Lytechinus pictus: one gene and its partner. The protein of the gene in region 2 interacts with the protein of the main gene of each other region in a pairwise test. Links are inferred from orthologs where the notes say so. Each region holds a gene or a part of one and is shown on either strand. Other genes may lie near its edges.

Region 1 (7,064 bases), on a different chromosome or scaffold from region 2:
ACAAACCCTTTGAGTGGCCTCAAGAACTGCTAATGACATTTCATAGTTCATACCCACGTACATGTAGAATTCCTGTTGACTTTGTTTATGGGTAAAAACAATTACATCCTCTATTGCATGCTAAAATATCTGATGAAATTCTAAATTGAATTAGCCATCCCTGACAAATAGTTTAGTGAGATTTGAATTCCAGTGAACGTGGGTGGTTTAATATGAGCTGTCATCATGAACTCATAATTCTAGGTCAGATTGTGACAACAACTGATTGAATTCCACTTTCTTTTTTTAAAATGGATTTCATGAATGTGCATGTGAGGGTAGTTCCCCCGGGGGGGGGGCACTCACATATATTGGAGTACGGGGCCGTGCCGCTTTGATGACCCCCTTTTTCAAACCTAATTTTCAGTTCTCTAGATACTCCGAATGACAAAAGTTCAGTTAAGAAGCCGCCCAGCCCCTCTCGCAAGACCCCCGTTAGGCCGTTACGAGACATCTCAGTTCCCAAGCCCTCCCAAAATTGTCAAACGCGAGCACCGCATGCGAGATGATTCCCTGGGTAAAGCACTTTGTAAAGTTTTAATAACAGCAGTACTGCGTCCAAGGAAAAATCAATTTATATAATTCATGAGATCACTTTTAATTAGTTTAATTATCCGAGTTACCACTACTCAATCTTTTTTCTGAAAGATTATGAATTTTCAGGACTGAACATTTTCTATTCATTCAATAAAGTAAAACCATTCAATAAGCCATGACACAAGGAGAGCATTACATGTAAAGAGTCATTAATTTTCACTGGCATCTAACTAGAAACAAACCAGTACCGGTAAGTGAAATTCACAGATTTCTTGTCTCAGGAAACACTCGCCAGTTCTTAACAATCCACGTATATGACGTTACAATGTTATATGTCACTCACACAGCACACTATTATGAAATGAAGTTGAGAGTGTAAATTCACATCGTTCACGAAAAAGTGAACATTTCCTCATTAGCAAGTCTGTCATATTTACCCTCCAATAAAATTTCAAAAAGCTAATGGAAAAGGAAATAATTTATTAGACATGTAGGCCTACATGAAGCTACAAAGTTAAAGGGGAAGTTTTAAATCATTATATACCACCTTCTTGAACATTTGTCACATTAGCCATAAAAAAATTCTCATATATGGTATAATCATATTCCATAAACATTTGCAAGTTATGGAATTTTGTATTACATTTATAGAATTTATATCACATGATACATGGGGAAGCTGGTTGTATATGACATCAATATAAAAAAAATACAAAAATCCATAACCCTCTGATTCTTTGTTAGGACTTTCACTACTTACATGTATTACCTTGGCCATCACCATTATTTTTTCTGCTTTTACATCCAAGTGAACCTATCCTTTATTAACAATCATTTACTTTAGCAAGGCCAAGGAAATGTACATACTTACATATGCAGGGGCCCCAGGACTGGGGAGGGAGCTGAAGAGGGGGGGAGGCTTGCAGGGCTTCAGCCTCTAGTACACTCCTCCCCCCCCCCTTGCCAGGAGGCTCCTAGATATTAAAGTCATTCCACTGCATGTTTAATCTCCACGGAGCCAGGGATTCCATAGCATTCATCTCCACAAACAGTCGTTTTTCCCATGGTTTATAGACTCTAGTAAAAAAATATAAAGTCTTTAACTTTTCTAGCCTAACTTTATATGTAAATGGGCTACAAGTATATTTACCCCCCACACGCAAATGGTGATAAAGATTTGATAGTTTTTTAGTCTACCCATGAAAAAACAACCATGTGTGTAGGTGAATGATAAGGAATCCCTGGCTTTGTGAAGATTAAAGGACAAGTCCACCCCAACAAAAAGTTGATTTGAATAATAAGAGAAAATCCAACAAGCAAAACACTGAAAATTTCATCAAATCGAAAGTAAAATAAAAAATTTGTGGCATTTTAAAGTTTCGCTTAATTTCACAAAACAGTTATATGCACATCCTGGTCGGTATACAAATGAGGAGACTGATGACGTCATCCACTCACTAATTCTTTGTATTTTATTACATGAAATATTCTAATTTTCTCTTCATTTTTAAGTGAAACGATTAATTCCTCTCCGAACATGTGGAATTAGTATTGTTTGACAATATATGGATCAGTCAAGTTGGTCCTAATTGCCAAATCTTTAAAATATTGTATAATTCAAACAATACAAAACAAAAGAAATGGTGAGTTAGGGTCATCATCAACTGTCTCATTTGCATGTCACTGAATTGTGCATATCACTGTTTTGTGAAAAATAAGCGAAACTTTAAAAAGTCATAACTTTCTTATTTTACATCCAATTTTGATGAAATTTTCAGCATTATGTTAGTATATAATTTTTCTCTATTTATTCACATAAACATTTTTCTGGGGTGGACTTGACCTTTAAGCACGTCAGTTTAATAAGTGGCTACCTCCCCCCCCCCCCCCCCTCACTTTGTTTTTCCAAACTGTAAAACAATTTACAAAATGACCATCTGATTGTGATATGTCGAGAATAATGGAGGGTTTTTCATCAAATTATGGAGAAGGGTCTATTATCAATGACAATGTGTGCACCAGTAATGCCATGGCTGGTGCACTGTGCCATTGCCATTGGCATTCAAGGCCCAATACTTACTAGAGTGTGTGGCAGTACGATGCCAGTGGATTCCTATCCCCGTCGCGGTCGGCCTGGCCGGCTATGTTCGGGGCTCCGTTCAGCTCAGTCACGATCACGTCTCAAATCAACACAGATCCAGAACAGAAGTACTACTCACTTATCCTCTCTAATTCCGCGGCTGATCCAATAATATATGATGATCCAAAATATAATTGCCAGATAGTATGAATCCAAAAAAAATGTATTTGCTGTGAATTTACAAATAAATTGAGGCGTGGATGCCTTCTCAGCCCTAGTACCAGCGATTCAAATGATTGCGCAAGAGCATTGAGCTGGCTAGCTAGCTAGCCGCATAATTACCGGTACCGGTATACGTACCGGTACTAGTATAGTATGCATATGCACGTCGCTCGCGATACGACGCTCTCAGCTCAGTCTATCTCAGATCTGAATCGCGCGTGGTGTGGTGGGGGTCAAGAGATCTATGTGGGGGCTCTTCTCTTCTATTTTTGTCAGTTTTGGTTTTCTTTTATACAAGTTCGTGGGTAGATCATTTTGGGGTTAGAAAGAATGCAGATGGACAAATTACCTGCTTTCTTTACATACAACCTGTGCCTGCGTGCTCTCTGCTTATATGGTAAAGGCCTACACGACCACTACCCGGGCACCCCCCCCCCCCTCAATAAAAAGCCTCGAAGTTGCGTTGTCATTTCATCTAAAACAAAAACAAAGACACACTTCATAGGTTTCCATCCATATGGACCAGGGGAGACTTCAAAGGGATAGGGGCAACGGGGTAACTGCCCCTCATTAGATATTCAAGAAAAAAAATTAATAAAAAAAATAAAAGAGAGAAAAAAGGGGGAAAGTGGGAAGGAGAAAAAGAAAAAGCGAAGCGAGAAAAGAGAAGAAGGGTGTAGCTTTATTGTTTTTCCTTTTTGTATTTTGTCAAATGTATAAAAACCTAAACGAGATGCTCTTCTCTCTCTTCATGCAAAATTTCGCGGGATAAATATAAAAATTGCCTTACCCCTTTGTTTCCCACAACTTTTTCTACTCCGTTTTTCAACTCCTCGGCAATGGGATTCGTGTATTTTCTTGCCAGAAATTATGAAGTATACTTTGGTTTAAAATATTATGATAAGTATTTATTTAATTTCCGCTCTTCTGGTCAGAGCGGGTAAACACTACCGCCACTCTCCGAGTCCGCATATGCAATTTCTGCTTTTCAGCAACCAATTTTTGGCAAACTATCTGCTCAAGGGGACAGGCATTAAATTCGCGCCGTGCTATAATGCAAAAGTATAAACGGAGAAACTTTGGTTCCATATGACATTTGCTCCGGCGACAACTCCGCTGCAAATATTCCTTCCTGCGAAACTTCGGAATTTCTCTGAATTTTTAGAAAAAATTCAGAAATTTCGAGGGACTCTTTCCTCCCTGCATACGTGTCTTCTGAAAGTGTAATGTGGCTAAATATTTTTTTTATCAAATCAGATCTAATCAAGGAAGGCATTTTACACAACTTTTGTTCTCAATTTCTATAAAACGTTTTACGTTCCGTGCTTCGCGCGGGAAGAGGAATTATTTCAAATTCATTAATCTTTTCCCGTATTTCTTTCAATTTTTTTTTTTTTTTTATCTCAGCATTTTAATTAAATTTGGAATACTAGAGACGCAAGAGACGTCTCCTTTTGATTTGAATTTGATGAGGCATCGAAAACTTCGCTCGGGAGGCCTGGGGAAACTCCCCCTCCCTGTACCCCCCCCCCCCCTATAGGGAGCACGCCTCACGCGCTCTGTATGGGATTTAATCCAGGACATATAGTTCCTCTCCAATGAAGTTTATTTAGTTTATCTCTTTTCATTTTAATCACAAAGATATAGGGAAAGAGAAGGGTATCTATAATAACCTTTGGAACGAAAGATGTAATTGTGGTTCGAGAAAAAAAAAAATCATATTGCAACTTTAGAATGTAATTAAATGTGAGACTGTCTGGTTTTGGTAAAATACCGAACAATTCATGATTTTCATTAAAAAAGAACGATAATTCAAGTAACTGGAGAGTAAATATGAAAAAAAAATTGCCATTTTAAGTTTTGGAATATTAATTCTAATAGACTGACATTATAATAGTTTGAAAAGGTAGAATTTGCTTTTAGTAATCTGTGCACTGTGTAAAATTAATTTTTAGTTGACTTGAATGGAATGAAGGGTAGGCTACGATGAGGATATAAGTTCACATAGAGTTTACAGGTTAATGACACACCGGGAATCCATGTCATCACTTCTATCATTAGTTCAGGAGTTATTCATGTCAACATTTCCAGTGAGGTTGATTAATGGAGGGAATAATGAATGTAAACGAATGCTTTTACGGGTGGATAATGAAATGCTTTGTATTTAATGTTGATATATATTCTACACGCACCCTCAACGACGTATTTGCCTATAATTAATATTGCATACACATGAACAAGGATAGGGTAATGGGGTTCATAATAACTTTGGTATGTACCCCTGATGGACGAAAAGTGCAAGTTCATTTCATTAGGTTCAATGTTCATGATCGTGACGATAATGCATGAAGTTATGTTGTGTATCTTAATTCAATTTATTCAAGACACAATTAAAAGTATTCGCTATTACAGCTTACATCCATACAAACTGCATAGAAATCTGCTTATATACATGAAAAAAAAATATACAATTTATAAAATAAATAGCGATAGACCAATGAAACCCAGCTGACAGAAAAAGAAATACATATGGGGATGCATAAAAATGTGCCTTTGGGGCAGAATCGAATGGGGGCAGGGGAAGCAATATAAGAAGAGGGAGAAAAACAGAAAGAAGGAAAGTGAATGAATGAATGAAATCAAATGAATGAAAGGAATGAAATGAATGAAATGAATGAAATTAAATGGATGAAAGGAATGAAATGAATGAAATTAAATGAATGAAAGGAATGAAATGAATGAAATTAAATGAATGAAAGGAATGAAATGAATGAAAGGAATGAAATGAATGAAATGAATGAAATGAATGAAATGAATGAAATGAATGAAATGAATGAAATGAATGAACGAATGAACGAATGAACGAATGAACGAATGAACGAATGAATGAATGAAATGAATGAAATGAATGAAATGAATGAAATGAATGAAATGAATGAACGAATGAACGAATGAACGAATGAACGAACGAACGAATGAATGAATGAATGAATGAATGAAATGAATGAAATGAATGAAATGAATGAAATGAATGAAATGAATGAAATGAATGAAATGAATGAACGAACGAACGAACGAATGAATGAATGAATGAATGAATGAAATGAATGAAATGAATGAAATGAATGAAATGAATGAAATGAATGAAATGAATGAAATGAATGAAATGAATGAAATGAATGAAATGAATGAAATGAATGAACGAATGAACGAATGAACGAATGAACGAATGAATGAATGAATGAATGAAATGAATGAAATGAATGAAATGAATGAAATGAATGAAATGAATGAATGAATGAACGAATGAACGAATGAACGAATGAACGAACGAACGAATGAATGAATGAATGAATGAAATCAACTTTCATGTGGACCTTTAAGGTCAAATGAAAATTGCGACAGTTATTCTTATAGTAGCACCTCCGTGTGTACGATAACGATTTAGATATTTTTACTGAAAGCTTTTATAGATTAAATCTCCAAATTGAATATAAATCCCATATACATCGTATATGAAAAGAAAACATTTCTCTGATCGAACGGATAAAATGAGAATAAATTGATATTTATTTCACTGTACAGTACACCCAAGGCCAACAAAAAGTAGTCAGAAATGATTTGTACACATAATTTTATCATTCAATACTTCAAAAAAAAAAATGTGCACGGTCAAAGCGAGAACGTGATGAATGTATATAAGCCATTTGATTTTTAAAAGTGGTATGGAAGTAAACATTCTTTGTAAATGAAATTAATCAAGTGATGAAGAATAACATCGACAGAAATGGAGAAGGAATTTATAATTTTGGTGGCACCCCAAATCAAGGGATGCTTAAAGGTGTCCCTAAAAACTGGTACTACAATCTCTGACATTATATTTTTTTTCTCGATCGAGGTTTTCATGATTGTTGTTGTGATAACCAACAATTGATATGATAATCATAACTAAAAATAATTTGGGGGTGAGAAACGACACTTATGAAAATAAAAATAAAAATTTGCTATATCAAAAAGAGAAAGCAGATGATGATGGAAAATATGAGATTTTCTCCAAACAACTAACTCGTGAAACCAAGGTGAGTAGAAGAAAGTGGATGTCGTTGTTTTTAAAGGAATACTACGGATAATTTATTATAAACGAGAATAAACAAAGGTTCCCTCAGACATTACTACTTGACATCAC
Region 2 (7,918 bases):
CACCACGTGCATAATCTCTCTCGAAAAAAAAAAAGATGATAAAGAAACTAATTTAAATATAGAGACAATAGGTAGAAAAGTAAAGAAAAAAAGAATTAAAAAGAAAACGAAAGGGAAAAGAAAAGACAAGAAACGAAGAAAAAAGAGCAAAAGTCAAAAAGAAAAAAATGAAACAGTAAAGAAAGGAAAAGAAAATCAACTACGAAACGAAAAGTAGATGAACAAAATATGAAAATAATAAAAACAAAACGGAAAAGGGGATAAAAAATAAAGAAAGTGAAAAGAAATCACGAGGGAGAACTAAGAAAGAATATTAGAACACGAGAAAAGAATGAAGAAAAAAATTACATGAAAAGAAGCTAATCGAATAAAAACAAAAGGCCGTTAAAATAGTGATTTATTCACTGGCTGCCACGCAGCCAAACCATCGAAAAAGAAATTACGCCACTAAGTTAGACTTATGAATATTCATATTACCCTTTCTCGCATGCCTCATACGATAGCCTTTTGTCAAAGACTTCTAGTATATTTCTATAGGATCCTCAGTGAATAAACAGGGTGAAATTAATAGGAAGAGCGTATTATAAACGTATTATAATCGATTATTATTTTATTTTTTGTTTTTATAAGGATTAGGCTATTATTTATCTTTTGTTTTTGTTTTCTGCTAGCACGAAGATAAAAATCAATTTATCTCGTTGCCTCGTCAAAAGGCTATATCGATCCTCCATTGCTTCCTGTACAAACGACTGTTAATGCACACCGGCAAAATTTTCCGACGTTTTTGCTTCGTTTTGGGGAATTATTTCGAAGTTTTGAGTGCCGCCCATATTGCGCCTTAAGTTGTAAGTATGTATTGATTCCTTTGTAACAGTTTTGTGCAATTTTATGTATTTTTGATTGATTCCCGATGCTCATCTGGTTTGATCTGGTGAGCCGGGGTGAATCACAACGCAGCCCGAACACAGTACGTGTTCGGGCTGCCGCAGTAAGCGGAACCGGTACTGGCGGTACATCTACTGATCTAGCTCCCAAGCCTGAAGGAAAGAAGAAGGAACCTCAAAGGCTCAAGAGTCAAGTCAAACTCACCCTCTTCTTCGAAGTGGTCGGGGGGTTGGTGCTAGCTCTCCCAATCCAAACTTTTGCTCAAGTGAACCTATAAAATCCAGAAGACATCCGTGCCAAACAATTTGAAAACTGAGACACTAGTACAATAAATATAGATAGGCAAGTGAGTGAAGTGACAAATAATAGCTCCCCTAAGGCTAAGCCCAAGGGCCCAAGTCTGTGCAGTCCCCCTTGTCTGTGCACATGCGTATCTGTGTGATTCTAGTAGAAGAAGATACCCAACAAACACAGACTTTACACATGCAATACATAGACAGATATTCATTAAAAATCTGACTCAAAATGGAAAAATAATGAATTTTGGGCATTTCTTATGACAGCCTCAAAATGCAGGCTTTCTCATCAAAATCCCCGAATCGTGTGCAAAGTGAATGGGTGCGCAGACATGGGGTACCATATTTTTTTTCAATCTGAAAATGACGGCCCAAGGTTTTTTCCAAGAAAATCCTATATTTCTTTCAAATTTTTATGAGATATTTGGTACACTTACTCATAATGATATAAATTATAAGGAACATTATTAACTGAAAGATTTTGTGAAAGAAAAAGGAATTCATGTTAAATCTTAATTCAAATTGTTAAGTGCGCAGATTTGGGGACCACCATCATACAATCCAATCAGAGCACGAACTGAACAATATAGGAACTCGTTCTTCCCATCCACTATCATTGAGTGGAATCACCTGAGTGACGCTGTCATCAACTCAACATCGACAAGCTCATTCAAGAAGGCCATTGACGGAACCTTCTAATCCTTACTCCGCCCTCTCTCACCCGATGCGTTTATGCTCAAGAGGGCACTGCATCGTACACATCCAGATCCAGATCCAGAATTGGCTTGCAAGGACCAGTCTAACATTAGTTACCGAGCGGGCGCTAGTGCTTTGCTCTTTTTTTAATTTTGCACAACAAAATAAAACAGGCCGAGACCTCTATAATTAATCAACAAGTTACAAGTTAATTCAACACAGCGTTTCACAAATTACCTGCCGGCAGTGGAGCTGAGTCAAGTCTCAAAATCATGTCCGAGAGACACTGAGGACTGGCAGGGGTCTAACCGTCATTAATTTTTTACTGAAATAAATTGAATGGGGAATTGGATGTTATATCAATTTAAAGTTAATTTTAAATATAGTCAGATCTTACGTTAGATCTTGTGTCTTAGTGATTTCTTGTTTTTGTATAACCAGTCGGCCCTGTACATTCCGAACACGAAAATTTATGCATCAGAACATGCTTAAAACTTTGAAAAATCCTTCCAAAAGCAATTTGAATGGAAAGACGATGAAAAAATGGCCAAGAAATTTTCAAAGTCTTTGCTTTCTCAAAACAACAAATGGTCAAAATATCCGATAAGAGATTTTGTAATTTTTCTAACTTTTTCCACCGAAAACACACATGATATCATTTTCAAGAGAAGTGACCCAAATATTTCACTTGTGAAGTGGGGTGTGATCGGAAGCTGATATCGCAAAAAAAGGAAAATGATCTCAGCAACAGATTTACATCTTTATTTTTTGTACGTACCGTATTTGCATATTTATGGTAGAAGATTAATGTGAATTCAGGAAAAGCGTTTAGTAACCGTGGTAATATGATCCACTGACATGCCCATCAATTTTTTATTGCAAAAATTTCCATGGCATGAAAGGAAATAGAAAAAGTTGGCATCCAGCCGTTGCAATGTAATTGAAAGAGCATAAAACTGTTTAAAGATGGTGGAGAGAATACATGCGTGAGAGGACAGGAATATTTAGACTTCACTTGTGCTACTAGTACTACCAACAAGTACCAGGTTATGATGAGTAATATTTCATTTCATTTAATTTATTTGTCCGTTAAAACGGATAATTGTATAACTTGACAATTCTTGCAACAAAAATAAAATTCACAGAATAACATTACAACAATGAACATACCGGTAACATATTAAACATGAACATGAACGTAATCATCGTGATTGTACAGAGTTATAGAATACATGTGATGTATACATGAATTAAAATCGATGACTTAGATGGCATAGTTATTGAGCATTTATTTATTTATTCAGTTATTTATTCATTCATTTATTTGTTGATTATATTTTTAATGTTTTTATGGTATAAATGTTGTGAATATATTATGTATTAAACATTATTTATTTTCTTCATTCTGAAAGTGATATCAATTAAAGCTGTAGCTAGATCTTGGTTTTACATATTTCAATACTTCCTCCTTTCAAGTTAAGACATGCAGTCGCGGGCGGGGGGAGGGGGGGGGGGGTACAGTGAGAGATAAAAGGGACATATATTCCCAACTTTCTCATCTCTAAAACTCTACAATTACTATTGACATGTACTGTAAGTTGCAGAGTTGTCTGCTACATTTTCTCTTTGTTTCTACAGATAAACCACACTCCTTATTCTACTGTATTTCATTGACAACTCTTATGGAGAAAGGGACGAATGAATTAATGCGGCGACTGGTTCTTGCTTTTATAGATTTCAGTCTTCGTCCACTTCTTAATTGAATATACTGGCTATTCAGGGGGTGGGTTTGATCAGACATAATGGAGAGAGCTTTCGAAAGTCAACAGTGTTATTCATTATTTTGCTGGCTTGCTTAACAAGTCTTCTAAGCTTTATTTTATCTCTCTGTTTTGCGTTATTAAACCAGATGATTGAATCAAAAGTAATGATACTCTGGATGATCGACTGGTAAAATAGATACAGGATCCTATCATTTACATGGAAGTACTTTAACTTTCTGAGGAAATATAACCGTTGGTTGCATTTGGTCAAAGTGCATTTTGACTTTGCATCCCACGACAGTTTGCTGTCGATTCCCGTTCCTAAATATCTATAAACTTCAACATTGTCAATAATATCACCATTTATATGTACTGGTCTATCAGTGGGTTCAAAGGATTTCTTTTGCCTGAAGTCGAAGACAATTTCTTTTGTCTTCTTGGAGTTAACGAGTAAACAGTTTGCTTCACACCAATTTTCGAACGTATGGATAGTATCCATATAATCCAATTCATTTTCATTTTCAATTAATCCGACTATCACCGTATCATCTGCATATTTAAGTTTGTGAGTAGATGGGTTATATGATATACAGTCATTGGTGTATAGGGTGAAAAGGGTCGCAGAGAGAACACACCCTTGTGGAGTACCAATGGTTGTCGTTATTTCATCAGAGAGAATGCCGTTAACCCTAACCTTCTGTGTCCTTTCATGGAGAAAATCATGAAGCCACAGTATAAGAGATGGCTGACCATTTAGATTTTTCTACTTTTTCCAGGAGTATATGGGGTTCTTTAGTATTAAATGCTGATGAGAAATCTATAAAGGTTGCCCTAGCATATTAACATCTTGCCTTATGCACAACAAACAATTAGGGATCTTCTTCTTCCAGAGTAAGTGCTGCCTAGGTGATGAAGATAAATGCACTGGTTGTGTATGTACATGTATGTGTGGAACTTTTCACATTCTTATTAAAAGGTCTTGTTCTTGTAGTGCAGGTGCGTATATAGTAAGTAAAAGCATCCTTTGTGGTGTTTACTTCTGCACCCCAATCAAGAAGGCCTTGAAGGCATCAACAGAGGGTAATGGATTGGATCCTGTGGGAGATTGTTCCAGTCCTAAGTTACAGGTTAACTAGGGATTGGGAAGATGGAAGAATCATAGGTCTGACTGCTGCAGTGGGGTGTCCAAAATCGAGATCAGTGTCCCCTAGTTGCTTTTGACAGCTCACTGAAGAAGGACTGCCAGGTAATGTGAACATGATTGAAGCAGATACGTTACAGCAAAGCAAGCCACTGTCAAGACATCTGGTGAGTAACAATGGCCAGTTCAGGTTTTCGGTCGTTAGTCGTTACGCTGGATGTTTGGTTGAAGTCACCTGTGACGTAGCGTGCATGCCTTCGTTGTACCATTTCAAGCTTGTTTACATTCCACTGTGTGTCTCGGTCCCATGCTGTTGCAGCATATTCCACCATTGGGCATTCATATGTGAAGTATGTAGCCTTGATCTTGTGCCTACAGTGCTTAAATTTCCGTCATCGGATGGCGGTGACAGAATTCGCTTTCTTGACAGTATCCACATGACTGTTGAAGTTGAGTTTGTGGTAAATGTGGATACCAAGATACCTGGCAGAACTCACAAACTCTAGGTGATGCCATACCGGCCAAGAATCTGTTTCCTCTTGTTAGTGACTGTCAACGTTTGGCACTTAGAAGGGTGGAATTCCATCTACCACACATTCCCAACAGTCTCGAACATCCAGATATCATGTGTCTATTTGTAATCCAGTACTTGTTGGTACTGCTAGGATATACATTAAAAAATATTGAATTAATATAAACATATTTATTAGCTCTTACCCTTGTCTGACTTTCTTGTTCACCAGTGTGGTCAAAATCAAAATCTGTCATTTTGGGGTTTATTTCTGTGAGGCTCTCTATACGCCTACATTGTAGATCTAGTATTGGTGGAAAGTACAGGAACGGGTAACTGAAGTTTTATAATCAGTTTCATTAAAAAGTAGGATTTAAGCTGGCTAAGATACATGTATATGATGATTACACTGTACAAGAAAGTGTTTTGGCAAAATGTTTATTATTGACTCACGAGATGAAGAATAAGCAAAGAAGATCAATTGTCAAGCCTAGTTTAAACTTGTGCACCGTAGTATTACAGGACAAGGTTATATCTTTAAGTTATATATTAGATGGAATGATGGATGCATGTCTCCTAAAACTAGAGACTGTCTCTAAGTGTCAGGGGAGTATTTCATGAAAAGACTTGTTGGACAGTTACCATGGTAACAGTATAGCCTACATATATCGGGCTTTGTGAAATAGTGGGAGTTATTTATCCAAGGTTGGTCTGGCGATTACTATTTTTCCCTTGGGGTGAAGACCTGAGTGCAGAATAGTTATATTGCCAGTCAAACCAAGAATGCTTTCAAAGGAAATGCCTGTTATATTTGTCGTATTTCCTACTTTTAATGAATTAGAACCAAAATCGGTGCACTGAGTTTGCAGAGTCCGTTAACTTGCATTGAATGACCTACATGTACTTTCCCAAAGCTACCATGCTCAATGGAATGCTGATAGCGCTGACACATCACGGGAGAGGCAGCTTGCTGACCGGCGTACCAGAGAGATTAGCTACATGTAAATACCGGTATCTGCATGTAGTTTTCTCAAATAATGACATCAGAATATTGGTATATCGAAAATTATATTGAGGTCTAACGTCACAAATCATCATAGTTAGAATATATTTGGTTACATGATACTACATGTACATTGTATTTGAACCAATCACTATACAGGATTTATTTTAATGCTTATTATGCAAGCAAACATGTCGGATATAAATATTGATTAAATGCCCCAATATTTAAGGTCATTTGAGATGCTCCTAGGGGGCCATGCCCATAGGCTATCTCTTGTCAGGAAGTATACTGCTTGTTAATCCAGAAAAGAAGGCAATTTGAAGAATTTTGCAAGAAATATTTCATAAATTGTTTAGAAATAATGTACAATAGATCACAAAGGACAAATTTTGACAATTATTGCATATATGCTAAGCCTATAGATTTCCTCTTCTTATTAATCTGCCTCCAGTGTAAAAGATTCATTCAGATTTACTTAATTACAGACCATTAACTATAGAGCTGTCCAATGCGGATGTGCAGGTAAGAGTGTGTATCTTATCCATCCTGCAGGAGGTGTAATATTTCTTCAGTAGCCTACATGTATCTTACTGATTTTTCTGGAATGGACATACATGTAGATCACACACAAGTTATGACTTACTTGTAAGTAATGGAAGTTGAACCGGACTTTTGGGGGAGATTTTTATCAACATTTATTGTCTGCCAAGTTGTCAAATCTGAGACTTTCCTAGATAAGCCTATTGATTGGCTTAGAAGCACTGTTACTAGGGTAACTGGAATAAAGCAGACTTATCAGAAAAAAATGTCTGACAAATCCTTTCATGAAACACTCCCCAGAATGTGCTCCATGGTCATTACTTTTTTTATTTAAGGAGCCAAACTTTTTGTTCAGTAATATCATTGTTACTTTATTTATCTATTTTAGTTTTTCGTATCATTTTCCTTTCTTTGCAGGCTATTAAGAACCAGATCAAGATTGAATTTCCAATCAATGATTACTCCAAACTCCAAGGGGAGATCATAGGACCACCAGACACACCGTACCAGGGTGGTAAATTCAAGTTACACATCGAAGTCCCAGAGACGTACCCCTTCAATCCACCTCGTGTAAGCCTTTATTACCATAAAGTCCATCCATTTTCAGTTTAAGGATCTCATTTTTTGTTCATGTGCGAATGTGCCATCTAGCCAAGATACTTCTAGGGAAGAAATTTTGCTCTTATTTATATAAATGTTAATAGTCAAGACCAATTTTCCCTGTGTCAATTGATTGAAAAACAAGGAGATGTAGGACTTAGTAGTAGTAGTGATGATGGTGGTGGTGGTGGTAGAAGTAGTAGTTAGTAGTAGTAGTAGTAATAGTAGTACTGTAGTAGTAGTAGTAGTGGTGGTGGTGGTGGTGGTAGTCATGGGCGGAAATCTCAGGGGGGACAGGGGGAACACGTTCTCCCTACCAAAAAAAGTAGGAGGGACACAATATCAAATGTCCCCCCTACTATTTTTGTTTTTTTTATGATGGAAAGAAATACATCATTCAAAATCAAAATAAAACATGTAGTTTGGAAGAGATGACCTTACATTTGGGGTGATAACCATTTTTTTTGCTTGTCAAATTTT

What was found. The genes of interacting proteins can lie anywhere in the genome.
Region 1: the proteins of ubiquitin-conjugating enzyme E2 K-like (region 2) and tripartite motif-containing protein 2-like interact in binary tests that used the Homo sapiens proteins (3 or more experiments, as listed by UniProt). The link is inferred for Lytechinus pictus from reciprocal best matches to the Homo sapiens genes UBE2K and TRIM2.

Annotation. Positions count from the first base shown.
Region 1 is NW_026974140.1:10,772,523-10,779,586, reverse strand, and holds the start of tripartite motif-containing protein 2-like, read right to left. Parts: upstream 3,029-7,064; 5' UTR 2,657-3,028; intron 1-2,656. UniProt on the Homo sapiens protein: UBE2D1-dependent E3 ubiquitin-protein ligase that mediates the ubiquitination of NEFL and of phosphorylated BCL2L11. Plays a neuroprotective function. May play a role in neuronal rapid ischemic tolerance.
Region 2 is NC_087249.1:33,557,726-33,565,643, reverse strand, and holds the start of ubiquitin-conjugating enzyme E2 K-like, read left to right. Parts: upstream 1-4,897; coding exon 4,898-5,242; intron 5,243-7,255; coding exon 7,256-7,408; intron 7,409-7,918. UniProt on the Homo sapiens protein: Accepts ubiquitin from the E1 complex and catalyzes its covalent attachment to other proteins. In vitro, in the presence or in the absence of BRCA1-BARD1 E3 ubiquitin-protein ligase complex, catalyzes the synthesis of 'Lys-48'-linked polyubiquitin chains.